Linked DNA regions of Arabidopsis thaliana. The protein of the gene in region 1 interacts with the protein of each later gene in a pairwise test. Each region holds a gene or a part of one and is shown on either strand. Other genes may lie near its edges.

Region 1 (6,950 bases):
TCTCAGCTCTTCCCCGACAACCTTACTCGCTTTTATACTGGTAAGTTTTGTACTTGTTTCTGTAGCTGAACTTTGGTCTCAGTTTCTTACTCCCTACAGCCTTTTTGTACTATTTCAGGACTCGGACAGAGCTTGATATGTACTTGGAAGCTTCTCAGATTCGAGAACGGGCAATTGAAAGAATCACCAATGTTGTTGGAACGTGAGATATTGTTCTTTCTTTCTTTCTTTCTCTCAACTGCTGGAAATCATTGATGCAGTCACTAGTACTTATTGTTTGTAGGCTAGGGGGTTGATGATTATGTCTTGCAAGACACTGCTCATGTCTTTTTCCTTTTTCTTTTCCTCAGTTATGAAGATCTAAGAAGCAGGATATTTTCCAAACACCCTCAACTTTTCCCTAAAGAGGTAACTGGTATACGCCCATTTTGCTACAGCTTACTATTTGGACATGTAATAAGATGCACTTCTGTAATTACAACTAGTGTTGGTTCTATTTTATTATCTGAGCTTAAATTTGTTTTGTCCACATGTATATGAGTGTGCTATTTCTTGGTTGCAGGTTTTCAATGATGAGACATTTAAGTGGTCTTTTGGAATCCTATTCTCACGGTTGGTAAGAACTACTGTATCATAAGCAATCATTATCTTGATAATTGATGTAAATCTAGATGTCTTGAATTTGAAACAACAGACTTGTTCTTTAATCTTAGCATGACTTTCTGCATAATATAGCTGTCTCCAACAATTTATTGTTTGAACAATGACCACTCACAACCAAAATATTGCATTATTTCGTTTCTCTTTCCTTCCGTGTGCTGCGTGCTTGTCTCTGCAATTCAGACTTAAGCTTCTCTAACACAGGTGCGGTTGCCTTCTATGGATGGAAGATTTGCCTTAGTTCCATGGGCAGATATGCTTAATCATAATTGTGAGGTACTTCTACTTATCTTTATGACCAATTAGCTCCTAGATTCTCCTAATCAGAAAGCATGATTGACTTATGGTAATCAATATTTCAAAATCTGCTTGGAAAGGTTGAGACGTTCCTGGATTATGATAAATCTTCAAAAGGAGTTGTCTTTACAACAGATCGACCATATCAACCAGGTGAGCAGGTAAATAAGATAAATTCATTCAGATAACCTGAGCGAGCATTGAAGTTTAATATAAGTCAGTGTATAACACAAAGAAGTCCCGTTTACACAGTTTGCCTTTTAGCGCTTCAGTAAGTCAGTCCAAAGTGGAACCAATGTTGTCTGAAGTCTCTGATATGTTTCAGTAACATGACATTGTGCAGGTTTTCATATCCTATGGGAATAAATCTAACGGAGAGCTATTGTTATCTTATGGGTTTGTTCCCAGAGAAGGAACCAATCCTAGTGATTCAGTAGAACTAGCATTATCACTTAGGAAAAACGATAAGTGTTACGAGGAAAAGCTGGATGCTTTAAAGAAACACGGATTATCGACGTATTCCATTCTCCACCATCCATGTTCCCCTCTCAAATTTGTAGATCTCTCTTGATTAACTTGAGTTTTGTTTTGATTGTTTGTGTTAACTTTTCTCTGGCAGACCTCAATGCTTTCCCGTAAGGATAACGGGTTGGCCAATGGAGCTAATGGCATATGCTTATCTTGTGGTGAGCCCTCCAGATATGAGAAACAACTTTGAAGAGGTTTGGCAACTCCATCTTGACCCTTTTTACCATCCAATTCTTCCCAAATTCATAATACATCTCTTATCAATTATTATCCATTTCAGATGGCGAAAGCTGCTTCAAATAAGACATCAACAAAGAATGATCTAAAATATCCTGAAATCGAGGAAGACGCATTGCAGTTCATACTGGACTCATGCGAAACAAGCATATCAAAGTACAGCCGATTTCTAAAGGTAAGTAACAAAACAGCTCATCTCTCTCTCTTTGTGGGAAAATTTTCACTCCATCTGCTTATAGTTTGCTTTGTCAATTATCTAATTGTAGGAAAGTGGATCAATGGATTTGGACATAACATCTCCAAAACAGTTGAACCGAAAAGCGTTTCTGAAACAGCTAGCTGTAGACTTGTCCACTAGTGAGCGCAGGATACTGTACCGTGCTCAATACGTAAGGAACAACTTTCTAGCCAATACGATAGATAAGAGTCTGTGGATCGATCCATGATATTGTGGAATCTGTGTTTTTTTTTTTGTTTTGTTTGGGTCAGATTCTGAGGAGGAGACTGAGAGATATCAGAAGTGGTGAGCTGAAGGCTCTACGGCTCTTCAGTGGACTTAGGAACTTCTTCAAGTGAATGTTGAATGAGGACATTTCAACAGCTTTAAGATGGATCAAAGGTAGGCCTCGTTGTGCTTCAACCAAAAATGTAGTTTTTTATTACAAAAAAATTGAACGTTGGTGTAGGCATGGTTGGATCTGTCTCACTCGTATAGGAATATATTGGTCCAGCCATATATGTAATTTGATCATTTTCTATAAACTCAAAACCTGAACCTAAATTGATTAATTAAGGAAACGCATGAGAGAGTAAGGGTAGAAACATGTTCTTCGTATTTGATCCGAATCGAACTGAAATAATCGATCCAACAAACAAAGATAATTTGAAAATTAAGAATATATCTGACTACAACTCATAACGAAAACCGTACCAAAACTCACACTCCTTGTTACCGCAAACAAGATAATCTGATGGTACACGTCAGAACATTTGTTTCTTTAGCAAAGCAAGTAAACATTCCACTGTGGCAAAGTAAAAAACGAGAAACCTATAAAGTCTTCCTAATGAAACGTACTGATTTTATGGAGTTTCCATTTTCGACATAATATGACGTGGCAATATCTAAATGGTTTAAAGATGTTTTATCTCCAATGATATAACGCCACGTAAGCCCGCTGACCAAATAACCCAAAGAGTAAGCAAGCGACGTCGTTTATAGTTTGATGATCTTGTCGGGTAACGAAACTGCCCCTTGAGTCAAAACAGGCTTCTTCGTGTCCGATTCTGAACGAGCTCGCTCTTTCTCATCCAATTCTCTCCACCGTCTTCTACTCCGATCAATCTTCAAATTTTCTTAACACTCATCGACCAGATCGAGTTTCCATCGATCTAATCAATCAATCATCAGATTTGATCTTCTCAAGAAGGTAAATCCCTCTCACTCTCTGTGTCAAACCTAATCACCTCGTAGGAATCGAAATTGGAACAATTCAATTTGGTTTGGTTTGGAATCTCTAGTCGATTCTTCTTCTAAACGATTGAATTGCGTTTTGTGCTTTGATATAATTCGAAATTATTGTGGCAGATGAGCTTGAAGGGTACGATCGTATTACTAGGGCTCTTATGGAGCTTCCAGGCTACGTTAGGGATTAGATTCGTGATAGACCGTGAAGAATGTTTCTCCCACAAGGCTGAATATGAAGGTGATACGCTTCATGTCTCTTTCGTCGTCATCAAGTCTGACTCTCAATGGCATTTTAACGAGGATGGTGTAGATCTTGTGGTATGACTTTTTTTCTTCTAATTGAACTTTTCTACATTCTACATTGCAAAATCGTCGAAAATCAATAGAATTGGTATTCCTAAACAATGCTTAGGATTTCCATTGTTAATGTTGGTAGATAATTTGAAGTATGTATTGATAAAGAATTTGGTTACTCTTTAAAGCTGTTATATTGTACCATCTGGTTAATTTGGTGGTTGTTGTTGTTGTTGATATATTTTGGATGCATTTTGAATAGATACATGGCCCAACAGGCGAACAAATTCATGACTTCAGGGAGCAGATAAGCGCAAAGCATGATTTTGTTGTCCAAAAAAAAGGGGTTTACAGATTCTGTTTCACAAACAAGTCTCCTTATCATGAAACCATTGACTTCGATGTACAGCTTGGTCACTTTGCATACTACGATCAACACGCAAAGGACGGTAAGGATTATCTGTTTAGTTTTGTTTCAGTTTCGTTTGGTGATGAGGTATTTAGCTGAAGATGGTTTTTGTGCAGAGCATTTCACTCCCTTGATGGAGCAAATATCAAAGTTAGAGGAGGCTCTTTACAACATCCAATTTGAACAACATTGGTTAGAAGCTCAGACCGATCGTCAAGCTATCGGTAACATTTTTTCCTCTAAAAACCACATTTGTTGTTCTCACTTCAATATTGAGTGATGGTTTGAATATGGTTGTTCCTTGTGCAGTGAACGAGAACATGAGCAAAAGAGCAGTACACAAAGCTTTGTTCGAGTCGTTTGCACTGATTGGGGCAAGTTTTCTCCAAGTTTATCTTCTGCGTCGCTTGTTTGAACGCAAACTCGGCATGTCTCGTGTCTAAAAGTATCGAGTTTATTATGACTTTGAACTTATTTTGCCTTAAAATGTACCAGGGAATCTTTACTTAAAACCTTTTTACAGACAGATCGTAGTTCATTGGAAGATTTGCTTTCTCCCATGTTCAAGAACTAATCCTCTCGTGATGATAATTCTTTTTTTTCTCTTTATTAACAGACAACTTTTCCACAAGCTAGGTTTTCATTTCAATAGAGAAAATAGTGATTCCTTAAAACCTTTTTTCCCTAAAACAAAGAGAATAACAATGTGATCAAGCTTTGAATAAGACGTGTCAAAAGTACTCAAAATCCCTTAACTGGATTCGAACTCTTATAGAGAAGGTTATAAAAGTGGACACTAGACTAAGTTAGTTGGGCCCAGAGTAGATAGATAAAGCCAGCTATCATTTTCTTAGTCGTCGTACAAGTTACCTGAAAATAAAATAAAAACACAAACTTTCCTGAAAAAGTCGTCTCCAGTTTTAAGCATTGATAAATCCGACAAGAAGTCCGATTTTGTTCCATAGCTTGCTTGTGTTTTTAGTGGATTGAGTCACTGAAAGAGAAATCATAAGGCTTTGTTGATGATGGATCATTTGGTGGAGACGAATTCAGTTCCGAGCAGATTGGTGGAAGAAAGGCTTGATGAGATTCGTAGAGTAATGGGTAAAGCTGATGACGACCCGTTAAGGATCGTTGGTGTAGGAGCTGGTGCTTGGGGAAGCGTTTTCATTGCAATGTTGCAGGAAAATTACGGTAAGTTTAGGGGCAAAGTTAGTGTGAGAATCTGGAGAAGAGGAGGCAGAGCAATCGATAAAGCCACAGCTGAACATTTGTTCGAAGTGATTAATTCGAGGGAAGAATTGTTGAGGAGGTTGATAAGAAGGTGTGCTTATCTCAAGTATGTGGAAGCTAGATTAGGGGATAGGGTTTTATATGCTGATGAGATATTGAAAGATGGGTTTTGCTTGAATATGATTGAGACTCCTTTGTGTCCTTTGAAAGTTGTGACTAATCTTCAAGAAGCTGTTTGGGATGCTGATATTGTCATCAATGGTTTACCATCAACTGAGACGTTTCAGGTGTTCAATGAGATTAGTAAGTATTGGAAAGAGAGGGTTAATGCTCCTGTTATTATCTCTTTGGCTAAAGGTGTGGAAGCAGAGTTTGAGCCTCATCCTCGGATTGTTACTCCTACGCAAATGATCCATCGAGCGAGTAAATTCACTTCCCATTGTCTTTTATCTGATTGCTAGATGAATATTTGATATCATCTTCCTTAGTATTTTTGTTGATGTAGAGAAACTTTCTATTTTTATTAAGGTTATATGAGTATTGACTGTGTTGGCGTTGAAGTGTATGATCAGTAGTTGTTGTCATTGGAAATTCTACAGTTTGCTTGTCATATTCTCTTTGCAGCTGGTATTCCTCTTGAGAACATTCTCTACCTTGGGGGACCTAATATTGCTTCCGAGGTATACAATAAAGAGTACGCCAATGCACGGATTTGCGGGTCTGAAAAATGGAGGAAGCCTTTGGGAAAGTTTCTAAGGCAGTCTCATTTCATAGTCTGGGATAATAGTGACCTCATTACTCATGAAGTAATGGGTGGCTTGAAGAATGTTTATGCCATTGGTGCAGGTAAGATCAGGTGTCTTAAATGGTTATCTGAATAATAGTGATTCAAAGTAAATTACTGGAACTGGTGATCAGAGGTCAAAGTTTATGAGCTAGTGTTTGTTTTGGCGTTTTTGTATTCCACAGGAATGGTGGCTACACTGACTAAGGAAAGTGCTACCAGCAAATCAGTGTACTTTGCGCATTGTACTTCAGAGATGATTTTTATTACTCATTTATTGGCCAAGGAGCCAGAGAAACTCGCTGGGCCTTTGCTTGCGGATACCTATGTAACATTACTGAAAGGTCGTAATGCGTGGTACGGCCAGAAACTTGCAAAAGGAGAACTTAGCCTTGAAATGGGTGACAGCATCAAAGGCAAGGGAATGATTCAGGTACTCCATATATCTCAATGACTTCGGTTTTAAGTGTTAAATTAGCCTTAAATTATGTATGTTTGATATTGAGAATTTGTCGAATTTGTAACTTTCATCTGAGTCGAAATAGCAAGTGTCCATACCAGCAAAATTACTAAGAACTTTGTTCTGTATAATGTAAATTTATGTTCACAAAATCCAGTTTATAGCATAAAACAGTAAAGAGTATTGCACATTTCAAAGAAACTAAAGAATTTTGGAGATTGAATCTAAACGCCACTGAGAAAATACAAAATTCTGTCATACACTGTTGTTATCTTGTGGTCCTAGATTATTTATATGAAAGGCTAATGATGAAGTGCTTTGGATGATGTAATGTTCATAGGGGGTTTCTGCGGTGAAAGCATTTTTCGAGTTGTTGAACCAATCCTCGTTAAGTCTTCAACACCCTGAAGAGGGCAAGCCTGTAACTCCGGCTGAACTTTGTCCCATCTTAAAGATGCTCTACAGAATTCTTATAACAAGGTACTCTCATCTCTTTACTGGGTAAATAACATATCAACTTGGACCTCATTCATAAACATGATTCACACCTTGATGATGTTTTTAGAGAGTTCTCGTGTGAGGC
Region 2 (8,294 bases), on another chromosome or scaffold:
TTTTAGCTTAAGACAGGACCAAGCTAAAGCTATTTTGTTAGCCTTTAAAGCTTCTTCTTCTTGGTCTAAAGCTTTTTTGTTTTTTGTTGTCATCTAACAGTGTTAACTTGTGGAAAGATGTTAAAGTTTCGAAATCATATCAAAACTTTAGACAGTTTCAATCCTTTGATAGGTTTCGATGTTTTGGGAATGTTTTTGAAGATGAGTTCGCACGTGAAGGCCTTGCAGGGCCAACAATGTCTTGTATTAAAATAGTATATCAACGTGGACTCGTCGAGTCTCTTTCTCTCACTGCTCCAAGATTAATTAGTTGTACAACTTTAATCGACAATTACAGCTATTTGGTTAAAAGATTTTAATAATAGACAGGTTTCTTCTTTCACCAGCAATATCCATTAGTTTCTTAACTTATCCGTTCCACCATGTGCGATGGTACCTTTTATCATTTATCGTATAAAAATTCGAAAGGGACGTAACCATCCATCAACTACGCAACCAATAAATTAAACAACCTACTACAACTAAAACAATAACCCTAAACAGCTTTCTCATGAAACAATTCATTTAATTTAGTCTTCACCATCATATATGTTTTAAAGTTATTTTGATGCACCAAAATAACACTAAGATCAACAAGATTTGTTTCTTGTTTTGAACTAACAAATCCAAAAATCAATTGTTTTTTTTTCTTCCCATGAGAGTTTCAATTAATTTATAATCCAACAATAGTTAAATCCAAAAACACACACAAAAACAAAAACTCCATTAATTAATGATACGGTAATTAAAGTTTACCAGCTCTTCACCGGCGTGCTTTTCCTCCTCGACCGTCTAGACGACGGCGGTGGAACCACTACCTTGACCGTCATCTCCGGCTTCTCCTCCTCCTCTAACTCTTCATGTTTCATCTTTTGCTCCTTTTCCATACTACCACTACTGCTCCTAACTTTCTTCTTCAGCTTCTCTCTGTTAATAACCACCTCAGCTTCTTCGTCTTCTTCTTCTTCGTCCTCGTACTCTTCGTAATCCTCGTCTTCCTCAGATTCTTCCTTCTTGAAATCTTCTGGGTTCTCAAGATTCTTCCTTGGCCTTCCTCTTCGTCTCCTTGTAGCCTGAGACTCCGTCGGAGATGAAGCTTCTGCTACTGACGACGTTTCCTTTGCTTTCTGAAACCTTCTCTTCCCCATCAGTTTACTTTATTCAACAGAATAATATTTTTCTTGAACAGCTTGTCTGATTTTTAATATCTTCAAGAGCAATAAAATTTTCTTTTATGTTTTACAGACAGAAACAAAAACAACAGTCTTTAAAAACCAAAAGCCGCCCATTTCTTTGGTGTTTAGATAAAATATCAGAAGAAAAAGTAGATTTTATTTTTGTCCGTTGGTTATCTCTTCTCTATTATCCACCAATATAATACAAGTATGACATATATATCCTTGGAGTTAGGGTTCATATACAGTCTACGTTCTAGACATTATAGAAGAAGTATATCTTTAAATCTAGTATGCAAGACTATTGCCACCACGGCACCACCTAACCACGACCCGGTTGGTAGCTACAATCTGTGTGTGAGGTTTGAGGTCTTGACATAAACTTCATTTCACAACAAACCCATAATGATGACATTCATATAAGATGAATTTATATAATTCGATACTAATTGAAAACCGACCTATATCGATCATGTGAGGTTCGAACCGTGACATTCTCTATACTGTTGAACAATGAATAGTTGAATTTTGAATACAATGAATAAGATCACAATGTGAGAGTGAGATCAATTAACAGAAAAACGGCACGATGTTCACTAATCCTTAAGAAATGGAGTAAATTTAAAAGCCCAATAAAGGCCCAATACTTACTGTTTAGAAAAACCAACAACAAAATGAGCGTCGTTTTAGATGAACACAACCGACGCGGTGTGTCTCGTAAACAGCGAATGGTTTTGTTTTGTTGGTAAAGGGATAAGATCACGTGATCAGAAAGTCAGAAGAGCCCATCTTCTTCTTCCTCTTGGTTCTTGCCTCTCTCTTCTCGTTGGATATCATAAAAAGACAATTCTATCGAGTTCCCATCACTATTCCCGATTTCTGATTTATTTTTCCCTTTCACTGTAGATCCTTTTTTCCGACTCACACACTTTCGATATTTTCTTTTGTTTTCTTCAAAAAAGACATATTTTTTTTGCTGGGACTATCAATTGGGGTCCGTCGCCACGCCACGCGCCGAGCTCGCAATATATCGAAAGCAACGATCTAGGAAGGATCTTAAAAATCCTACTTGGCCACAAATTTTTGCTATTTTTATTATTTTCCGTGTTTAATTTCTGATTCAGACAGGAAGATTAATATTAAGCACTAGTTGTGCAAATTCACAATTTTTTTTTGTGGATGGAAACAAATTTCTGGGTGAGCTTCCCTTTCCTTTTTTTTGCTTTCTTTCTCTCCTTTCTTCTCTCCGGATTTTTCTAGGTTTTCAATTTTTGTTTTACCTTCAAAGGTTGTTCCTTTGTGATATAAAAATATAGTTTTCACCTTCTTTCAATCTCTGCGGTTTCTAAATAGAACATTGGAGAGATTTGTTTCTGCATCTGTAAATTTTGATTTCTTTGACCATCTCTCTGTTTTTGTGGCAAGTGAGTAAAGTTTCAATCTTGACCTTTCTTTCTTTCTTTCATTAGTTATGATTTTTGCTTCTTTTATTGCCTTAAATTTCCCCATTTTGGGAATGAATGTTTCTCACGTTATTCTCATTGATTCCAATTTTTCTGCAGCACACGTATTCCAATCCAAATCGACAATATACGCGTCTCTGATGGATATGTTTTGGATTCAGTGAGAAACAGAGATTGATTTTGGTTTTCTTTAATCATGGTGGAGCCTTATGAGACACGTAACAACGGTGAAGCATCCCAGATGATCAGATATCAGAGTTATAACCATCACAATTCCAGACTACCATCTTCATTATCATCGCCATTGCTTGATTTGAGAGTGTTCTATGTCAGAATCAGTAATTTCAAGGTGGATCATTCGACACCTGAGGTTCTCACCATTACTCATATTCCTTTGGATCCAGATTCACTTCTGGAGATTAATGGTGTTAGAATGAGCATGTACTCTGAAGGAGTTTCTTCTCAGCTTAGGCGTGATCGTGTTGATAAGAAATCTGAAGTTGCTACTTTTATCAGCACGGATAATATCAGGTTATCTGGTAGTGTGAAGTTTGAGGTTTATGATAAAGATGAGCTGGTTTTGTCTGGAACGCTTGAGATGTCTGGTAGTAATGGTTTCACTGGTGAATCTAAGCATAGCGTGAAGCGGTGGAACATGAATTGTGAAGCTGAGATCACTGCAGAGTCTGGTTTCTTGAAGGAGAAACATATTGGTGGTTCGGAGTTATCTTCTCCATTGCCAACTATTGAAGTCTATGTCACTGGCTGCTTTTCTGGAACTCCTATCATCCTAACGAAGACTCTACAGCTTGGTTTCAGAAAGAAGCACGGTAGAGTGACTGCATTAGATTCGATTCCCGAGTATGAAACTGATGAGCCTCATAAAGGAAACTCATCTGAGCTTGATTATCAGGTAACTTTTAATTGCTTGGTACTTCATTTTTTCAAGATTATTATAATGCTTCCGAATAGTTTTATATTGATTGAATGCTTTGAATGCTTTTCCTAAGATATGAGTCTTCATGGTCACTATTGGCTGTATGAGCATTAAGTTTTTCATGGTTTTGAGATTTCATAGTTTGAGTCTTTGAGACATGTTTCTTGGTAGTTGGTACTCTAAGGAAGATAATTCCTTTAGATATTGAAGTGGACCAACTTCGTTATAAATGATCATGTGAGGTATGGGGCCAGCCACATTTTACAAGTCAATAGATAGCTCTCGCCCTCTCTCTCTCTATCTCTCACTCACACTCTCTCTCTCCCATTTGCCTCTTGTCTTGTGATCTTAATATCTGAATTCTTATCCTTTTGCCTGCTACAGTCAGTTCTAAGGTGACTTATTGGTTGGAATATCGTGGTTTTCACATGTAATGCTACAGTATATTATCTTTAATTTATGCATAGACTGATTTGGGAAACGTTGCCCTGTTTAAGAGTCAATGTTAAGAATAGCTTATGCTTGAAGTTTTAATTGGAGGCTCTTGCAGTTGACAGTGTCAATACCTATTGGAGATAGATCTTCATACTCACCGTAGATTATTTAACTATAGTGCAATGTCTATATCTTCGACCATTAGCCTCTATTCTACATTTGAAAGAGTTTATAAGATTGGAACAAAAAGACCATTAGCGTAATTGCATGACGATTGTATTCTTTCTCTGACTATCGCTATGAATGTCTCTTAATTATTTTTCTTTGTTAAGTATGGGAGTTAATTTCTGTGCAGGTTACTGAATATGGAAGTTATAAACAAGAATATGAAGGAGAACACAGCGACATGTACTGGAATAGAGAGTACGCAGATGGTGAAGATGGTGAGATGTCGTGGTTCAACGCTGGTGTGAGGGTTGGTGTGGGAATTGGTCTTGGTGTCTGTGTAGGTCTTGGCATTGGGGTTGGCCTTCTGGTGCGTACCTATCAATCGACCACCAGAAACTTCAGAAGGAGGATTATCTAGTTTCATTCAAATTGCCTCAAGCTTCATCTACTCTCTCCCTCTAACTCCAATCCGTTGCACATCACTTTTGACTGCAGAACTCTAAGCTATATAGTCTAAGCTAATACTGCTGTGTAGTATAATTTTTGTTTTATGTACTTTTTAATCTCTTTGTGCCTTCAAATTTTGAAAGAAATCATTTTCCCTTCTTCTTGTGTTTGGTGAGATTCAGATTGAAAGAAACAAAGCTTGTTGCTGGTAATGCGAATCTTGTTTTCTGCTTCCTGTAAATAAAATGCTTATGAGTGTAAAGAGTTTTTGGATTCGCTTACAAGCCTTGCAAGAGTTACTAATACACACAAACCCTCTTTATTTTAATCAAATGCTATGTCTAAATCATACAACCTCTCTACTTAGCATCAAGAGCTAAGGTTAGTCCATTTCAAAAGGGTTGGTTTTAATAATACATTGCCTTCAGAACCAGTCAAGGGTGGTTTTGGATTGGCTCAGGGGCAATCTCAGCTCCAGAAAACCCGTTGCTCGCGTGCAGCTGGTTATTGTTACTGTGACCCAATCCCCAAAAGTTAGCAGTTTTAACATCGTCTTGGTTCATTTGCTTGGAGAACTCTTCATAGTTATACTGCAACAAAGCTTTCCCTCCAAATTCGGTTGGGAGATTTTCCTCGTCGAAAAATGTGCTCATAAGCTCCACGCTTTCCGAGTTCTTTGGGTAAACAAACTTCACCTTGACGAATGTCTTTGCATCAATGAAGTACTTCACAATCTGTGGAACAACACATAATTAAAGAAAAAATGAAAATGCCATCATGTTCCTGCACATACAGACGAACAAAACACAAACAAAGTTGTCTTGTTGTCTAACTATGAGATAGAAGTATTGTTTTGTCTAACCTTCCAGAACGCCTCAAAGAGTCTTGGAGGATTATAGAGGAAAGCTACAGCTAGTCTCTCAGGGTAGTGATTTTGCAGAATATTAATAGTTTCTCTGGCAGATTTAATAGGCACACTAGTGCTCATTGACCAACCCGTGAAGTCAATAAGCCAAGACATCTGTTCTTGATCCTCTGGCAGATTCAGAATAGCATTCTCAATGAGATACACCAGATGTTTCATCTGGTTCTCCAACGATTTTGTGTTCTACAAAAGTTGTCAATGAAAATGGAAGTTTCAGCTTGTGACCTGAAGTTAACTCATTAACTAAGAAAAATGATGAATAGAAACCTGCAAGCCGGGTCTCAGTATAAGAACCGTTCTTCCATGCCTGTCATGGAATCCAGCTTTGTAAACCTTACCAGTCTCACCTTCACCTGAAACTTCATTCTAATAGAAACCAAGAATTATAAGTTTTGGTTGGATAGGAATTCTCTAAGATTTAGTAGCATGATGCAGTTATGATACATACCCATCGGATTTCCTCGGGTTTAAAACTCGATCTCCATTTGAGCGTCTCCTCGAGCATCTTCTTGGCTTTGCCTACATTCCAATTCCTAGCTTCCAGATATCTCTTCAGACATGCATCTGAACAATACAGTGAATTCCTTCCAGAAAGCTGACCTATGAGAGTCTTAAGCTCTTTCATCTATAATCATAAAAATCAGAAGGCATTATAGCTTCTACGAATCAACTAGGTAATTAAGTGAAATGAAAATCATCAACAAGGCCTTGAAATATTTGACCTTTGCCTCTCTGAGAGCTGCCTCTTTCTGCTCTTGTTCGGTTTGAGAAGAATTCTTCCAGCGAAACATTTTTGAAAATTGCACTTTGGGTCCAATGTATCAAAATCTCTTTACTCTGTGAAAATTAACTACAATGAACAAAAGCCATGTTAATAATTAGCCTAATACTAACAACGGCCGTTAAATCCAAAGCCAAGGTTCATGTGATGCGTGTGACAGGACATCACAGACCAAACATGACTCAACCACCTACTGCTTCATTCAACTGCTTACACAAAACCTCAGAAATTCAAAATCTAGTAAATTTTCAATTCCCAAACATATCGATCAACAAGATTTGCAAAGTTGTTCAAGATCTACTCAAATTTTGGAACACTAGACAAAGGAATTTCCTATAAACTCACTACAAACCCAGAAAGATTCATAATCTACCTACTTTTCTAGTCGTCAGATGTAAAATAAAAATCAAGAGTATGAAATCAAATGAAAGACCCAAACTTTAAAAAGAAGAACGAGGGTAGTACCGAAACAGAGAACGAGGAATAAAGAGAGAACTTTGCAGTGATGAGACAAGTCGGAGAAGAGTCAGCTGAAGAAAAGTTGAAACTGATTTCATGAAAAGAGTTGCGAGAAGAAAAGTAAAGACATTCACCTAACGCTTGCAGTTCAGACAAGTGGACAACAACAGAGACAGCGATTAAAATTATATTTTAAGGTAACTGAACGGTACGGCACGCCACGTGAGATTCACGTATACTTGATTCTGCATACTCCACGTGTCAATTGCCTTAGAGGCCATAGAATTTTGAAAGCAAGGCCCAAGGAATCAAAAATACATGTTTATTTCGAAATCTATCCAAGTCCAATTCACACATAAATATTGGTATGGCCACAATTATATGATTATTTAGAGCACCACTATTGGTGTATTTAGATGTATCTTTGGCTAATATCTAAAAAATAAATTTTGAAAAATAAATCAAAACAGATTAAAAACTAAGATTTGCTTCTTAGCTAAGAAGTTTTTATGAATGAAAAAAATACTAGATTCTTAAGTAAAACTAAAATTTTGAAAAAATTTTAAAAACTAAGATTTGCTTTTTAGTTTAAGTAATTGTTAAGATACAAGATTAAGAACCAATGGATTCTTAACCTTTGGGGACGGTCTTATACACTATGAGAAATATGCGATTACAACAAATGGAAGGTACGAAAGATAAACACAACTTACAATAGAAAACTAAATTATTACATTCCAAACTATCTCTTAACATTCAACTGGAGTTTGAAGAGAAACAATCTAAAGCGACATCTAAACCATGGCCATGAAGACACGCTGTGCACAACGATGAATCGAAAGAGTCGAAAACACCTTTCCTCCAAATCTTGAGAAGTACGACCCCTTTAAAATACTACAATCTGGCAAAACTCGAATGCAACTTATTTAACGACAATAAAAGTTGGAAGGAGGTGTTGCGACTTTCTTTTGTAGTTAACACGAGGATTCCTAAAGTTCTAAGTCAACAGTTTACAATGAAACCGACATGTCCCAATTTTCAGATAATTTCAAGAATTCCGCAATCTCCATTGTGTTATAGAAATGGTTGTCAAGTAATTGGAAGGATTGGTTGAAATTTTGATTGAAAAAAAGGTGTCATTCAACATAAAATCCTACCAATACCTGCAAATATTAAACTTCCGATCTTTTGATGGTTACTAATACATGATATAAAAAAACAGGTTCTTAATATTGATAGTAAGCTCAGAAGGTTGCACAATCATTTCAAAGATTGAATAATCTCATAAGTCCAGACATATATATTAGCAACATCATCATCGCAACCAAAGAGAAAATGTAATAAGATCAAATACTCAGAGAAGCTACATAGTAGCGATGGCAGACAATCTACACGGCATCAATTCAGACCGCCCGTCTGCTAATATCTCATCATTGTTTTGATAAACAACAACAACAAAAAAAAA
Region 3 (8,551 bases), on another chromosome or scaffold:
ACAAAATGGTCCTGAATCTAAGTTTCATCTTCATTCTTAAATACCCAATTGCACTCCCAACAATTAAGGAGAAAAAGAGGTTAAACTTTCCAAAAAGAAAATATCTATTATAATGTTTTATGACCTACAAATTGCTTCTGGCTATTGTAGTTGTGTACAGAGAAAAAGGAAGTTTTCAATAATGCACTTTTTTCTTACAGTTAGAGTAACATCAATCAAATCATTTTCATTTGGATTTGCATGATATAGCGGACAGGAAGTAATTAATCTACTGGCCGACTTAAACGTTCTAGAAAAGGCTGACACTAATTTGTTGTAAATCTATACTATTAATCAATATATGTTTGTGTTGCCAACAAAACATTTTTTCTATCACTTTTTCTCTCAGCATTCTGCACTATCGCAAATGAAGAACAGTTTTATCCGCTATCTATGAGTTGTAATATATTCTGATTTCTGACATTAAGACAAGTTTTGATTTTGAAAAATTAAAATCCAAAAAGTAAAATTTGAGTTTCCTTTGTCATTCGGTGTTTACGTATATACATATATTGCTTAAACGTTTTCTATTAGTGTTGTGAACCATACATATATATAGTTATATACTAGTAGTATCAGATAATTAAACTTTTTGGTTTAATATCAATTATATGAAGACAAAAATATAGATTTGATCGCAATCACATTTAAAGACGCAAATATTTATTTGCGATACCAAAAAACTAGGTGACATAGATATATGAAGCTGTGCTTAAGGACTTGTCTACGTAGCTATGCTCGGTCATTTCTTCAATGAAATTATGAAACCACCTAACTAAGTCCAGCCCTTTTTATTGACACGAACGAAATAATACCATTTTCATAATAAATAACAATCAATGAAACTAATAAATTCTAATAATATCGACAGTGGACACATTCACACCAATCTTCGATGCTCGATCCATCTTCCACCAAGTTACCAATTGATCTTTCGATTCTCATTAACTTTTACAATGAGTTGTTGTTAATTATATCTCAAATCTCTTCTGCTCATTTTTCGCCTATTCTTTTTGAATAACTCTTAACAACAAAATTTAATAATCTTAGCAATAATACTGACCGGTCAAAGTTTCACACAACACAACAATGACATAGAGAAATTGAATTCTTCTTTTATAATCTGATCATCATCTTGATTTAATATTTTACATAGAGAACTAAAATTTGGCCGGCTATACTCTCTCGAAGAGACTTTTGGATACAATCGTTATACGAGTTCATTAAATCCTGAGCTAGGTTTGATCCATTTCCCATGTTATTCGATTTAGGAACTAGAATCGCAACACGATATTGAAAGAACATACAATAGTTTATGAGTTCATGCACTTCAGAATAATGATACGCTACGTCTCAACCAATCTTATCGTCGGGAAATTCACTATCAAATCATCGCTGGATGGCACAGAAACACGAGCTTCCTACCAAGAGATCCTCTGTCTTATGCGGAGTCTCATACTTAAATCAAACCGATGAGATAACCTCCCAACACTCCAATTCAATTCAATTCCGGTTAAGTCTTCGTAAACCAAACCCATACTAGAAATCATGAAAATTCCGAAGAAAAATCATAAGATTAAATGATTAATAGATTACTATCTACAAGATATATGAAAAAAGAACATAAATAATTTACAGAATTACCACTCTTTCTGCTATTAGCTCAAAAGGCCGTCGTCCCCCATGTCAGTGGTTAGGTGAGCCATTTATTTTCATGAAAACTATAGAAAGAAAGTTATATTTATGTTTCATGAAAATAGAAGAAAATGGTTATTACTTTTTTTTTTTTTAGCAGGGAATTTGGTTTACAAAAGCGAAAGTAGAAAATATATATTAAAATATAAAATTATATCGAAGTGCATAGGAAGATGAAACTGTGATCAAGAACATACAAAACACAATGACGGTGGTTCTTCTGATACTACTAGTATTACTAAGTACATTCACATGGATGCCTGCGCCAAACTTACAAAATTCATTTTTTTGTTGGATACATCTCATATTGCCATTTAATACCTTGTTTTTTCACTTCTTTTTCCAATTCTTGACGATGACAAATGTTAGTTATACCTCTGGCCAAAAAGTTAGATAGATGAGTCATAAGTGACATAGTAAATAAACAAAAATATATAATTAAACTAAATATCTCAATAAGTATATCACGGAAAAAAGTAGGATTAAGGATTTGTAATAGTAAATTAGTGATATAAAGCGTTGAAATGAAAACAAAACAGATGGAAGTATCCAATAAAAACGTGGACTGGTAGGAATGAATTGTCAAAATTAAATCATATAACGTGTAGCTAGTATGGGTCCCCGTCGTGTCCTCCTATCCAGTCGTCGAAGGTGTCTGTCTTTAAAACATCGCCGATCGATAGTTATGAGTCTGAGTTTCTTCTGAGGAAACGGGACGTCGTTTGCGTAGTTTGTAACTATGAAATTGAAAATAGTAAAACACGAATACATAAAAGAAGCTAAAACATTTTTTTTATCATATCTATAATCTATAGTAGTAGTATTTCTATTACTCGGTTAAACGACACTTGAAAGTCGAAACTTTGATTTGTTTGAGGTTGTGTCAGAGAGAGAAAGGAAGAGAGAGTTCCGTCTCTTATTAGATGCTCATTTACTCCAAAGTCTGAAGTTTGATTTATTTGAGGATGGATGCATAGCATTTGCATGGATTAAATGATTGTTTTTGGCACGTGGAGTCGTGGACAACAACACCTCCACAATTCACCCTCCACAACTGTATATACGTATGTATTTTTACTACAGATTTGTATTTTTCTTTGTAATTTACAGCAACGAAATTCTTTGGGCGTAACTATTTTTCCACTAGGTGAAATAAAACTAGAGATTTTTTAACAGAAAGTAGTGATGTTTTTCTAAAATATATCGTTTTCCGTGTCTAACTTACATGATTACATCATTTTTGCATGATGTTTACATACATCATTTTTGCATATGAGTGATATTCATAAGCAACGAAACGCATAATTCATTAAAAGATGATCAATATCATAACATACATTTATCTCGAAATATAGTATAGATGTATCATGTACTATACAAAATAGAAGTTTCAATTTATATACTTTCCAAGTATAAATTAAAAAAGGGTTAATCATTCGCAATAATAAATTCGTAACTTGTTAATCTCTAATTGACGTGAAACTTCACTTAAAATTAATCAGAAGTAACACTTAGTATTTAAAAATTGCACGTTGTTAATTCCCTTAAACAAACAAAACGACGCTTTTACTTTCTAAAATGTTTCCACATATGAGTGTATATATACACTTTTCTATTACGTTGTCCCAATATACACGTCTAGACCTACTTAACCCTTTTCTTTTCTCTCTTCTCTCTTTCTCTTTCTCTTTCTCTCAGTCAGTATATATAGCCAAGCGTTGTAGTTTAAGTCGACCACATTCTCAAAGAGAGAGAGAAAAGATCATATCACACTTATTTTCTCTTGCCCTCTTTTCTTTTTCCTTTTGAATATTTCTGGGTTACTAATATTTAATTTGTTGGTTCTTCGGTTTCTCCGACTCTTTCCCCTTGAACCTAGCTTAACAGGTAAGTGAATCACCTCCATACATCAATAAATTCTTTAAGAAAATATGTACATATACATGCATATTTAGGGTGACTTATCCGTGAAGATTTTGTCAAGAGAAATTAAGCTTTTGGATTTAGGCTGAATTTAGGATATACTTAGCTTCTCTGATCACTCACTGGTGTTTAATATTTACATAGTAGTCTTGACGACCCTTTGTTTTTCTTAAACCTGGATGAAACTTTGAATTAAGCTCAAGTTATCTTTGTGGCATGTCTATTACAGTAGTAATAAGTTAAAATTCTACATGTATTTTTTATTTACTTAGAGAAAATCAAAGAGAGAGGAAAAATGAGTGGAGGTGGTGGAGAAATGGAAGAGAGACTGTTAAATGGGTCAGAGACAGAACAAAGGAGAGAGAGTCTCTACTTGAGAAAAAAGATTTGGAGTGAAGTAAGGAAGATGTGGAGAATAGCTTTACCATCAACTTTGTTCAGAGTTATGTCGTTTGGATGCGTAGTGGTGGCTCAAGCCTTCATTGGCCACTCCAGTGAAACGGGTCTCGCTGCTTATGCTCTCCTTCAAAGCACTTTCATTCGCTTCATCTACGGTATTATGGTACGATCCATCATATATTATATGTTAAAACAATAGTACTATAATTTTCGTCCAAAAAAAATTCATTACAAAAATAGATATTTTGTTCTCGCTAAAGACTTTTTGGTACTAATAGTAAAATGTTGTGGTTTCACACTGTTTTTAACATTTAAGCAGAAAGCTATATGAAAAAGTAATGAATGATTTTTTTTTCTTTCTGATATAATGTAATGAATGAGTGTTTATTGTATTTTCAACTCATAACCAATTATATGGTAGAGAATATGAATTGCATGGTAATATTATTATTACAGGCAGGTATGTCAAGTGCGACAGAGACGTTATGTGGACAAGCATACGGAGCAGAACAATACCACATGATGGGGATATACTTACAACGTTCTTGGATAGTAGATACCTTTATTGCAACTCTCTTCGTCCCTTTCATCGTCTTAGCGGGTCCCATTCTCCGGTTATTAGGCCAAAACGTTGTGATCTCCGAGACAGTAGACGAGATTTACCCATGGGTCATTCCTTATCTCTACAGCATCGTGTTCACCATGACAATGCAAATGTACCTCCAAGCGCAGATGAAAAACGCCATCATAGGCATTCTTTCGACCCTAGCCTTGGTCTTGGACATTGCGGCCACGTGGTGGTGCGTAAGCGTGATGGGGATGGGGATCCATGGTGCGCTTCTAGGGCTTAATATAAGCTCATGGTCGGTGGCCATAGCCGAGTTTGTATATGTGTTTGGAGGGTGGTGCCCGCATACTTGGACCGGCTTTAGCACTGCTGCTTTTCTTGATCTTATTCCCATGCTCAAGTTATCCATATCCTCCGGCTTCATGCTTTGGTAACTTGCTTTTATTTGTTAATTTTTTTCGCGGGATTAAAACATGATTATTAAGCGTGGACCACTACTAATAGGCTAATACAAATTTCTAATGACTCTTCTTTTGCTTCTCTTGTTTATTTATTGCCTCAAACAGCTTAGAGTACTGGTATATGAGCATCATTGTCTTGATGTCTGGATATGCAAAGGATGCGAATATCGCAATTTCCGCTTTCTCCATATGGTATTACTTAAATCCGAAGAAGTTTTTTTTTCCATATACATATGAAAACTAAATACTTAATTCAAAATTTGCAGCCAATATATCTACTCATGGGAGATGAACATATGCTTTGGCTTGATGGGTGCAGCATGGTTTGTAACTATATACGTACTCTCATTCACAGTATTTTGTTTTTGATGTATACATATATTATTTGTTTAATACTAAAGTGAATGTTTCTCTATCTATGAATCCGAAAATGTAGTGTACGAGTGGCGAATGAATTGGGAAAAGGCGATGCGGATGCGGTGAGATTCTCGATAAAAGTGGTGCTTGTGGTATCAGCGGTGATCGGTGTGATATGTTCCGCTCTTTGCCTAGCGTTTGGCGGTCAGATTTCGTATTTGTTCTCTGATAGCCAAGCAGTTTCGGATGCAGTAGCTGATCTCTCCATCGTCCTTAGCATATCTATACTCTTCAACATCATCCAGCCCATTCTATCTGGTTACAAAATAAAACCCTTATATTAGACATAAATAAATTATAACATAAACTTTTAGATTTCACTAATTTGTAACCACTAAATTTGTTTGAACATATATAAACAGGGGTAGCAATTGGAGCAGGGATGCAGAGTATGGTAGCATTAGTGAACTTAGCATCTTATTATGCAATTGGTGTTCCTTTAGGTGTCCTCCTTGTTTACGTTTTCAATTTTGGGATTAAGGTACATCATATATATGAAAACTGGTATCCAGTACTTCATTATGATCAATCATTAGAACTTTTAGAATTTTAACTTGAATAAATGATATTGTATGCAGGGACTCTGGTCCGGAATGTTGGCTGGAGTTGGTATCCAAACGTTGATATTGTGTTATGTTATTTACAAAACTGACTGGGAATTGGAGGTAATTTACTTTTAATATATAACTCAAAATTTTTATTAGAAAATTCGTCATATTAAATGTATAATTTTATCTAATTACAGGTTAAGAAGACAAACGAGCGTATGAAAACGTGGACTCTAAATTTACCTGCTGTACAATCGACTACTATCTCCACAAGAGATGAAGAGAGAAAGTGAACATACAACTAAGTTAATTTAAAGAAATCTTTTAAGAAATTCTTTATAAAAAAAGAAAGAATAATTTATGTTGTATTGTGGTTGTGTTTTGCATTCCCTAAGAATGAAGTATCGGTGTTGAGATTGCATTATTAGGTTAATGCAACTCTCATAACTTTGAAAAAGGTTAAGAAGGATGAACTTTTTCTTTTATCAGAGAAAAAGGTTGTTCTCTTGTTCTTCGGATATACTCTTTCTAAACAAAAAAAAAATTGTGGGAGGTTTGAAATTTTAACTTCTTTCTTGATTTTTTAATGGATGTATATTTTGTGTGTGGGGAAAAAAATTCCATTTGTTTGAGTGCTTGTAATCGTGAATTTTTACAAAAAAAATATTCTCATATATATTTCGAGGAAACGTTACAAACTTTCATAAGCTCACCATCAAATAAAATACTCATTTATTTATGTTGAAGTCAAAACGTTCCATTTTTCCCCCTATTTATGAACCGATCCTAATGAATGTTTTTTTTCTTCCTTTTTACTTCTTTCATATCACCATTTTAAATAATAATAGTAATTATTATTTTTCTAACGTTTAAACAAAAAAAGAACTGCAAATTTTATAGTAACAATTCAAATTTAACAAAGCGATCAAAACATGCATCATTTAGTGTACAAGTACTAATCACAAAGAAACAAGTTTTGGTTGGACAAAGTATAGAACAAACACACTAAACTGAAGAAAATAGAACTTTAGCCCACCAAAAGTTGAGGCTAAAACTCGAGCAGTAATCACATAGTTACTATCAAGATAACTATACTTTGGAATGAAAGAATCTGAATCTCGATGAAGTTTATCTTGGAGAAGGACTTTCTTTTCTGTTGGTTTGGATGAGATATTGCTGAAAATTATTGATGATGATGTTAGGAGATCCAACTAAGTTGTCTGCCTTTGCAGTGCACTTGGAGACTTGGAGTGAGAATCTTAGTTTATGAGACTTATTTTCTGATTTTTCAATCTCCTTTGATTTTTTTTTAAGTTGTAATAATGTCCTAGTTGATTTCCTTGTAAAAGGAGCAAGAGCACGATGTTCTTTTATTTCTAATTTAAAGAAAATGTTTTCAGTTTAATATATTTTTCGATTTAATTTACCTTCACATATTTTCTTCAGTAGTATTTATTATTTTCATATTAGTAATTAGAAATAATCTCTTCTAATTAGATTATAAACGTTAAGAATTTGCTGTATTCAACTTTTCCTATTGTGATATTAAAAAAAAAAAAAAAAAAGAGAATCCAAAAAAGTGAAAAAACTGGTCTTTGAGGTCAGGTCAGGTCTTCTTCCTGCAAAAACAAAAACCTCAGAAATAGAGAAAAAGTTTCAATCTTTCTTCATCTTCTTCCTCCAAAATCCTTGATTTCTAAAAAGGAGAAGAAGAGAAGAGAACGCGATTACCTTGATTCACCCTCCTCCTTCAGGTTTGGGAGGCTCGAATACTCAGGAAATGAAAGGGGCAAGTGGTGCTGTTAAGAAGAAACCCCAGGTGTTGAACGAAGCTGGTGAGGCGGAGACGGCGGTGGAAACAGTCGGAGAAAGCCGGAAAATTAGTGGAGACGGTGGGTTTGGCAGTGACGACGGCGGAGGGGGAGGTGGAGGTGGAAGTGGAGAGTCGATTCTTCGCGAGATTGGTGATGATAGGCCTACGGAGGATGGAGATGAAGAAGAAGAAGAGGACGAGGATGAAGATGATGGAGGTGATGAGGAAGATGAAGAAGGAGAAGGAGAAGGTGGGCAAGAGGAAAGGCCAAAGCTTGATGAAGGGTTTTATGAAATTGAAGCTATTCGTCGTAAGAGAGTTCGAAAAGTAAGCTCCTTTTTTCGTCTTCACTCAGCAAATGTGGTTTGTTTTTGTTAACCATAATTAGTTGAGGTTTTAGGTTTTCTAGGTTTAAGATAAGTATCAAACGTAGGTTACACATTGGTGTGAGAAAGTGGCTGCTTTAGTAGTTAGTAATCATCGTAACAGAGTAGTTTATAACGAACCAAAGTTTTGATTCTGTGGTTGTTATATGTTGTAGGAAGAAAATGATCTTTAATGTTTGATATCTTCTTGGATTTGATTGATTGAATGATTCTGATTCTGCATTTTGGTACTGTTTTTTTTTTTGTATTTGTAGGGCAAGGTTCAGTATCTAATTAAATGGTGAGTTTTTCTAATCTTACTT
Region 4 (7,664 bases), 370 kb from region 1:
GGGAGATGCGTTCTTTTGCTGAAGTGGAAATGAGAGAATATCAAGGGTATAAAAGACATGAGGAATTCTCTGAAATAGAGAAAAGACATCATTACATTCATGATTGGCATCTTGATAGATTTGTCTCAGAGGAAGATGGTTATAAGTATAGAATCCAAGATGGTTGGTCCTCACCGTCTTTATCTTTGAGAGATTCTTGGTATACCAAAGAAGCAAAAGGTGATTTCCGGAGAGATGATACCAGAGACTTCAGAACACCTGAAGCATATGACAGCCAGAATAACCATTTTCATAAGGCTGCACCGAGAGATGGCTGGACGCAGAATCTTGGTCGTAGCCATAATGTGAGCGTAAAAGATAGACTACAGTATGATGCTGATTGGGTTGGTCCTGATAGAGGAAGATATAATATGGCAGATGACATGCAATGTTCAATGAGAGAAGTTTCTAATTCTGAGCATCCATCATATACTGATGAGATATTTGTCCGCGACATAAGAGTACCGACACATAATCGGATGGCGACCAAACAAAGGTTTGGATATTTACAGAGCCATATTCATGAAAATGATGAAAGACATCACAGATCCAAGAAGCTGAGAGGAGATGGGCATGCTTTCATCAAGCGTCAGGATCATGTTGACTTAGCTGGTAGGCAAGGAAAGGTAAAGATTGGGAAACTAAATCTACATGCTTTTAAACCTATATTTGAATGAAGTATAAACGCCTTTCAGTTATTTATATCCCTGGATTTTCTTTGTGTTATTTCTGACTGTTTTATCACTTTATATGGTCTGTCTTCTATACTTAGGTTTTATGTTGCTCACATCCGTATATTTAGACATCAGTTAGTGTACAATGAAGAACAAGACCCTTCTCATGTGATAGATATTTTGTGTGTGTGTTTCAGGTCTCTAACCAATCAAAAAAAAGATTCTCCAATGGCGGAGATACAATCGAGCAACAAGATGTTCAGAAACCAAGAAAGTTAATGGGCAAAAGCGAAGAGAAAGCTATGCAGAATCGAGATATAAATGACAAAGAAGAAGGCGAGATAATAGAAGAAGTGAAAGGTGTTGAAATAGACAATGAACGTATACAAGAGAGTCTGAAAAAGATGGAGAAACGGAGGGAGAGGTTCAAGGGAACCAAATTGGCGGTAGAAGCGACATTCAAATCTCAAACTGAACTGAGAGCTAAAGCCGATGTTACTAATCAACAGAGGCCAGTTAGAAAGAGGAGATGGTGTGCAAGTTAAAAAGATCATATTGGATGGCTTGTTTCAGGTTAACACAATAACGGTTTATTGATGGTAGGCTATATCTAAACCGATCAATTAAAAAGTGGCTAAGAAAATCACAAAACCGAACAATTGACTGTGACCTGGGTTTTTTTAAGTGATCTTGCTTGTGCATTTTTTTTTTCCCTTTTGTAAGTGTTTACGTAGAAAATTTGACTTTTTTACCAATGCTTATTTATATTTACAGTTTAGTATGTGTAATGCAAAATCAAATGATGCAGCGAAGGATCAAACCAGTGACAATTAGGGCGGAAACCGTATGATTAACGTGATAACCACTAGACCATAGTAAAATTACTTTCTTTTGAATTTAGAATCATTTTCTTGGGTCAAATAGATAACCAGATAATTTCATGAGAAAACCAGACCGAACTATACGATTTTTCAAAAATGATCAACTTTTGTATTTTTGTTTGTGGAATAATATTCGTCGGATATTGGTGAGGTGGACTCGTAGCCGTCGGATAAACACGCGGCTGATCTGAAGCGTCTCTGCAAAAGAGAAAAGAGAGCAGAGAATTCAAACCAGTTTCCATCGACGCAACGACCAATCTCCACGATTCCTCTCTTCTCTCTAACTTCCAGGTACGTTTTTCGAGAACCCAATGAAGCAATCAAAGTCCTTGGAATTCATTTGATTTTACTTTCAGGTCTTTGGATTTCTATAGAAAGAAAGATCTGTTTATTATTTGATTGGAACATGATAAGCTGCTCCGTTTCTCATATCCACTTTTGTTCAATTTATTTCAATTTGATCGATAATTGGAAAAGTACTGGATCTGGTGTATCGGAAGTTACCGGTCAAGCTATGTATGAACCCTTGTGATATTTTCACATGCGTTTATTCATTCAAATATGCTAGATTTTTAATCTGGTCAATACGTGATATCAGGGTTTCTTCAGTTGGGTAACAACTTAATCTTATTGCAGTTTTGATTTTACCAACTTGAAATTGAATTATAGTCTTACAGATACGAATTTGGAGTTTTTGTGTAGTGTATACTTGTTTTCTGGATTGCTTGTCACTTACTGTTGATTTATGGTTTGCAGAGACAAGTTGTATCCCTCGTTTGCTTTCTGCGAAACTAAGGTGCAATGGCGAAGATAAAACCGCAGGCTCTTCTAAATCAAAGCAAGAAGAAGAAGGGTCCAAGTCGCATAAGTATTTCCACTATTATTGTCTGTAATCTTGTAGTTGCTGTAGTCATATTATCGTTGGTCACAACCTATCGCCATTGGTCCCAAAGGTTTGTTTTCATCTTTGAATTGTTCCTTTTTCATTACTTCTGTTATAGTAGATTCTCCTTTTACTTTATGTGATTATCTATAAACTAAAAAGGATATCATTGGTTATATCTCCTAGGTCAAGAAACACAATTGAACATGAAACTCGGAGTCAGAGATTTGAGGTATTTTCTTGAGAGATTTTTTAATGTATAGCTTTTGAGTTTTGATCCTGATGAACTTCCGAGCACTTAGGTTTAGAGTTTAGGGTATTTACCATATGTGATCTGGCTTTGGTTTCTGCTTCAGGACACTAATACTGCGTCAGGGCAAAAAACTTACGATCTTCCTGGTTTTGCTGTAAGTTAATCTCCCTGTTTGCTTGCTTAAGTTTCTTGTTTTAATCCTTGTTCTTATTTCTCATCATGGTATTATGTTCTGTTCATCAGTTTTTGAAGTAAAAAAAATGTGATGTGTCTTATCTGAATATTGATTTTAATGATATCTTGCTTCTATTTTCCTATCTCATGTAGGATATAAACACATCAAAAGGACTTATAACTGTCGAACTCTTCAAAGAAGGTTCCCCTGAAGTTGTGGACAAGTTTCTAGATCTATGGTTAGTATTGGAATTCGTTTGTTTTCCTTTAAGTTAGATAGAAAAAGAACAGTAGAGTAATTTGATTAAGCTAGGTCATGACTTGTTCTTAAATAGGAGTATTACTTCTAGCTTGATAGGATTCAAGTAGCTTTAGTTTCTTGATTGACTGATTTTGATCCTTAAGTCCTCTTGTACTCTTCTTGGAATTTTTGTTTGGAACATGAAACCTCATTAAAGAGAAATGGGCTGAATCAGTCTGTGACGATATTGTAGCTTAATATAATAGTAGAAGTTGAACATTGAGTATTGTTGCAGTCAAAAAGATCACTTCAAGGGAATGCCGTTTCAGCGGGTTATAAAGAACTACTTGGTACAAGCTGGTCACTCACCGAGCTCTATACCTGTAGAAGAATGGACAGCTAAAGGAAAGCTCAGAGGTCGCCTTCACATTGGGTATAACTTGCTTGCTCTGCTTTTGGCTTTTAAGTGTCAATGTTTATCATCTCTCGCTGGTTTTAAAAAATAAAAAACTACATATGTTCTGTTACAGCCCAAAACATGAGGCATTCATGTTGGGAACACCAAAAAACAAAGGGAACAACAAGGATTTTGAGCTTCTGATCACAACGGCCCCAATCCCGGATCTGAATGATCAACTTATAGTGTTTGGAAGAGTCCTTAAGGGAGAGGATGTAGTACAGGTTTGATCCAACTAAGCACAGTCTATCAGCTTGAATGGTTTGTTTAATAGTTTCATGTGTTAAAAGATTAAATCATATTATTACAGGAGATCGAAGAAGTGGATACGGATGAGCATTTCCAACCGAAATCGCCAATAGGGATCACTGGTGTTGTACTGAAACTAGAGACATGAAATGAAAATTTCTCTTCCTTGCTTCCTCTGTAAATGAGGCTCACGCCAAATCCTTCTTCATACTCGCTCTTTTGTATAAATCCTCTTTTGAGGTTTTTTCTTTCTTTCTATTTTACAGTTTCTTGTTGTTTTGTAATTTTATTTGATTTTTCTCGAGGAAATAGAATCTTTGTTTAATTATGCTTCTGATACTTGAGCAAATACATGAACTGATTTTAGAGAATTTTATCCTGTTATGATAGAAAAACTTCTGTATTATACCCGTTAAGTACCATAAAACTATTAGAGAAAAAGAGAGGTCTTTTAAAATTTATATGAGAAGATATGGAGAACAATCTGAAAAACCAGAAACAAATCCTTTAAGAATTCTTAAAAATCTCTACAAGATTTCTTTTAAAAACTCTAAAATAATTCTTAAACAATTCTTAAGGAATTCTTAAATTATTCATAGAATACAATTACAAAAATACTGTATTTTTGTTTTAGGTAATATTTAATAATTTGGAATAAGATATATAGGACATACATCAAATTATGTATTTTGATACTATTTTGACTAAAACTTAAAAATGTTAAAAACACATTTATAAATATGTTAATTAGTTGGTGTACTCTTATGTATTTTTTTCTAATTAAAGATAAATATCTAGAGTGTGTAGACAAAATCTATAATAATATAAGAGAAAAAAAAACAAATAACGCTTTAAAATTTCATATCGTAATCATTATCAATTTTGTAGAGTAGGAGATATTGTTATAATTCATTGTTTTTGAAAAGAGAAAATCTTCATAGTAATATTTGGCAACCGAAAGTTACAAACCATCGATCATCAAGAGGAAGATACAATCAATAAACCTGTACCAACCATCTGCTACATCTCTACCATATAAATCTATAACGACTAATACAAAATGAAAGTTCCAAATCGGTGTTGTTACTGTTGCCTTCTCATTTGCATAACTGCTAATTATCATTAGAGAGAAACATGAGAGAAGACGAAGCCTGCATATGACTAATGTTACTTTGGATCCCACAGCTTATTTTCTTAATCTTAGCCTCAAATTCCTTGAGTTCCTCAAGCGTAAGCTCCTCAATGGGCTTATTGAACTTATCCTGTTCAGCAGATTCAAGCCACTTGTGAAGATCTTCACCATGTTTCTTCTCAGCTTCAGCTTCTTCAGTAATCGAGTTGAGGCGTTTACATATCTTCTTCTCCTGTCTAGCTCTATTGCCTCTACTATAGCCTGATGTTTCACAGCTATCTCCTTCTTCTTCTTCTTCGAATTCATTCTTAAACCGTTCTGCAATCACATCAAAATTCGGTTTCCCGAAGGAATACGGTTTGTTTCCTGGAGAAAAGACAACAATACCAACCTCCGCGTTGCACAGAGTCGCAAGCTCGCTCGCTTTCTTGAACAAACCCAGCCTACGTTTTGAGAAGGTAACTTGCTTCGTGTTTGTGTCTTGCACTTTCTCCATCTTAATCTTTCTCCTACCCATTTCTTTTTTTTTGTGTGAAATGTTTTGAGTGATTGTAATCTATGTTTGTGTATATAAGAAGAAGATTGTATTTCTTTATGTATTTATAGTAATGAATGTGGAGAAAGTTGTTATTGAACCTCATCATCATATATGTATATTTTTAGTAAACTTTTGTTTTTGCATATATATACATATTTAGTAACTCCACTTTGAAAATCTTGCATTACCTTATGAGAGCATTGAATATTTTCCATGTATTTAATCAATATTCATAGATATTTAACTATTATTAGTATTATCTTACTATTAGACCTCTTATTAAATGGTAGTTTGAATTACAAGGAGAACTTTACCAAGTTAATAAACAAAATTTCTTCTTTACCAAAATAGTTTATTTCCACCCAACAAACAATAATAGTAGTTTGACAAATAATAAACACATATTAAAAAAATATTAACTTCTATGTATTATAGTAATAATCTTACGTGTCATATTTTTTTTTTAAATAGTATTATTTCTGGGTATAATTAATCATAAACATCTATGTACATTTAAAATTAAACCATTATTTATATTCAATAAAAATATAATCTGCAATGCGTTTAACCCATTAAGCCTTTTTTTTTGTTAGGTATAATTAAATCGAAACTCTATAAGTCTCTAAATCTATTACGTGGGTCAATTGACTTTTTGCAAAATTAGTTAGACTTCTATATATAAAAGTTGACTCTTGTCCACTAAGACAATTGACACCTGTAAAATTTTTATGGTATTGAACCCAATTAAATTTATTTTAAGTAAGTATGTTATATATAATGAAGTCCATTAATATAAATTATCTTAAATATCTTAATACTTGTTTGTCCATATCCTAAAAAAGTAAAAACGGTTTGGCTTCTTCTTTTTCGTTATTTCTTTTATTTTAGATCGTAGAGCTTTAAAATTAGAATTTCAGTAAAAACAAATTATGACTCCGATGGAGTAATTTTCTGGCTCTTACAGAGAGAACAAGCGTGGACTATTAATTGAAAAGCACAGAACAACCGCTGCTTATCTGTTCCATAACACAAAACAAACAAATAGATGTTATAAATGAAATTCAATCAATGAAAATTAATCACTCTATCTGTTTCAAAATATTATTATATGTCTTAGATAAAAGCACAAAGTTCAAGAATCTAACTAATTTTTTTGTTATATTTTTTACATTAAAAACATAACTTAATATTTAATTATAGATAATCTAGCCAATGGTGAAATTTAATGTAGAATATACATAGTCACAAATTTGAATGAATTTAATTTTTGTCATAGAAATCTAAATGTTTTTCTAAAATATCTTATCATATAAAACAGAGGGAGTAAATACATTAAGTTTTCAAGCCAAAAAAAAAAAAGAAAAAAAAAACTTACAAGGAGGTAGATATCAATTATGTAGATCAAAGAATAAGCCGTCCAAAGTCCAGCGTTGATGAAACTAACTAACGACAGCCAAAACGGCATGTACTTGAAGGTCTTACTCTCCAGCATTTTTTTCTAATTGTTGCACGAATTACAAACAAAAAAAACTAATCAAAACCGCTAATTAATACTTAACCATCAATGAGAGTGAGAGTGAGAGTGAGAGTGAAAGCTTTACCTTGGCAAATGAAACATAGATACAAATGTTGAAAATGTTGCAAACAATCCCAATGAGTGTATACTTGGCGAATAAACTTTGAATTGCCCAAATAGTAATCACATAGAACGATGTCACAAAATCAAACACAGCCAGAAGACATAGATTAACATTTCTCTTCTGCACATCAACATCAACATCATCAAAATCAATATGCAGAATTAGACATATCTAAGTATAAAAGATGGACCTACACGTGATTCGTCTTCACAGCAGATCCAAAAGACAACCACAAAGATTACTTCGTTAACGAAACCAATACTATTACTAGTGGTGACGAGAATACTGTCCTTGTGAACAACAGGGAGACCATACAAAACCCACAAACTACATTGAATCAACAGCACTAAATGAGGAGCAATTTGAACTCCCTCCACTGATTTCTTCTTGCATGTTTGTATAACCGTTGGCCTGTATATATATATAATGAAAAATGCTTTCACTCTTGACTACAATAATCCTTCTTCTTTTTTTTTTGGTCAGAAAACAACAAATTACTTATA

The links.
Region 2: the proteins of p24beta2 (region 1) and AT1G75180 interact in a protein complementation assay, tested with the Arabidopsis thaliana proteins (one large-scale study listed by BioGRID).
Region 3: the proteins of p24beta2 (region 1) and AT5G17700 interact in a protein complementation assay, tested with the Arabidopsis thaliana proteins (one large-scale study listed by BioGRID).
Region 4: the proteins of p24beta2 (region 1) and AT3G66654 interact in a protein complementation assay, tested with the Arabidopsis thaliana proteins (one large-scale study listed by BioGRID).

Annotation. Positions count from the first base shown.
Region 1 is NC_003074.8:2,452,320-2,459,269, forward strand, and holds p24beta2 (emp24/gp25L/p24 family/GOLD family protein), read left to right. Parts: upstream 1-2,919; 5' UTR 2,920-3,149; intron 3,150-3,307; coding exon 3,308-3,505; intron 3,506-3,743; coding exon 3,744-3,930; intron 3,931-4,006; coding exon 4,007-4,114; intron 4,115-4,199; coding exon 4,200-4,333; 3' UTR 4,334-4,599; downstream 4,600-6,950. Other genes in the region: AT3G07670 (Rubisco methyltransferase family protein), read left to right, coding at 1-40, 119-202, 351-408, 563-616, 865-936, 1,038-1,118, 1,301-1,473, 1,577-1,679 and 3 more; AT3G07690 (6-phosphogluconate dehydrogenase family protein), read left to right, coding at 4,913-5,546, 5,748-5,969, 6,063-6,340, 6,708-6,847, 6,933-6,950. UniProt on the Arabidopsis thaliana protein: Involved in vesicular protein trafficking. Mainly functions in the early secretory pathway but also in post-Golgi membranes.
Region 2 is NC_003070.9:28,212,491-28,220,784, reverse strand, and holds AT1G75180 (Erythronate-4-phosphate dehydrogenase family protein), read left to right. Parts: upstream 1-1,983; 5' UTR 1,984-2,411; intron 2,412-2,454; exon of another isoform or gene 2,455-2,638; intron 2,639-2,776; 5' UTR 2,777-2,873; coding exon 2,874-3,590; coding exon of another isoform or gene 3,591-3,686; exon of another isoform or gene 3,687-3,998; coding exon of another isoform or gene 3,999-4,013; exon of another isoform or gene 4,014-4,404; coding exon 4,405-4,635; 3' UTR 4,636-4,949; downstream 4,950-8,294. Other genes in the region: AT1G75190 (uncharacterized protein), read right to left, coding at 792-1,187; AT1G75170 (Sec14p-like phosphatidylinositol transfer family protein), read right to left, coding at 5,099-5,398, 5,527-5,772, 5,857-5,955, 6,038-6,214, 6,312-6,380.
Region 3 is NC_003076.8:5,828,817-5,837,367, reverse strand, and holds AT5G17700 (MATE efflux family protein), read left to right. Parts: upstream 1-3,377; 5' UTR 3,378-3,621; exon of another isoform or gene 3,622-3,929; 5' UTR 3,930-3,952; coding exon 3,953-4,219; intron 4,220-4,512; coding exon 4,513-5,054; intron 5,055-5,190; coding exon 5,191-5,277; intron 5,278-5,351; coding exon 5,352-5,408; intron 5,409-5,521; coding exon 5,522-5,760; coding exon of another isoform or gene 5,761-5,786; exon of another isoform or gene 5,787-5,864; coding exon 5,865-5,983; intron 5,984-6,080; coding exon 6,081-6,167; intron 6,168-6,247; coding exon 6,248-6,343; 3' UTR 6,344-6,798; downstream 6,799-8,551. Other genes in the region: TFL2 (uncharacterized protein), read left to right, coding at 7,831-8,190, 8,504-8,529.
Region 4 is NC_003074.8:2,086,299-2,093,962, forward strand, and holds AT3G66654 (Cyclophilin-like peptidyl-prolyl cis-trans isomerase family protein), read left to right. Parts: upstream 1-1,617; 5' UTR 1,618-1,885; exon of another isoform or gene 1,886-2,350; 5' UTR 2,351-2,395; coding exon 2,396-2,547; intron 2,548-2,663; coding exon 2,664-2,709; intron 2,710-2,833; coding exon 2,834-2,884; intron 2,885-3,057; coding exon 3,058-3,143; intron 3,144-3,440; coding exon 3,441-3,578; intron 3,579-3,675; coding exon 3,676-3,826; intron 3,827-3,912; coding exon 3,913-3,999; 3' UTR 4,000-4,243; downstream 4,244-7,664. Other genes in the region: AT3G66652 (fip1 motif-containing protein), read left to right, coding at 1-665, 911-1,258; AGL91 (AGAMOUS-like 91), read right to left, coding at 4,964-5,500. UniProt on the Arabidopsis thaliana protein: PPIases accelerate the folding of proteins. It catalyzes the cis-trans isomerization of proline imidic peptide bonds in oligopeptides.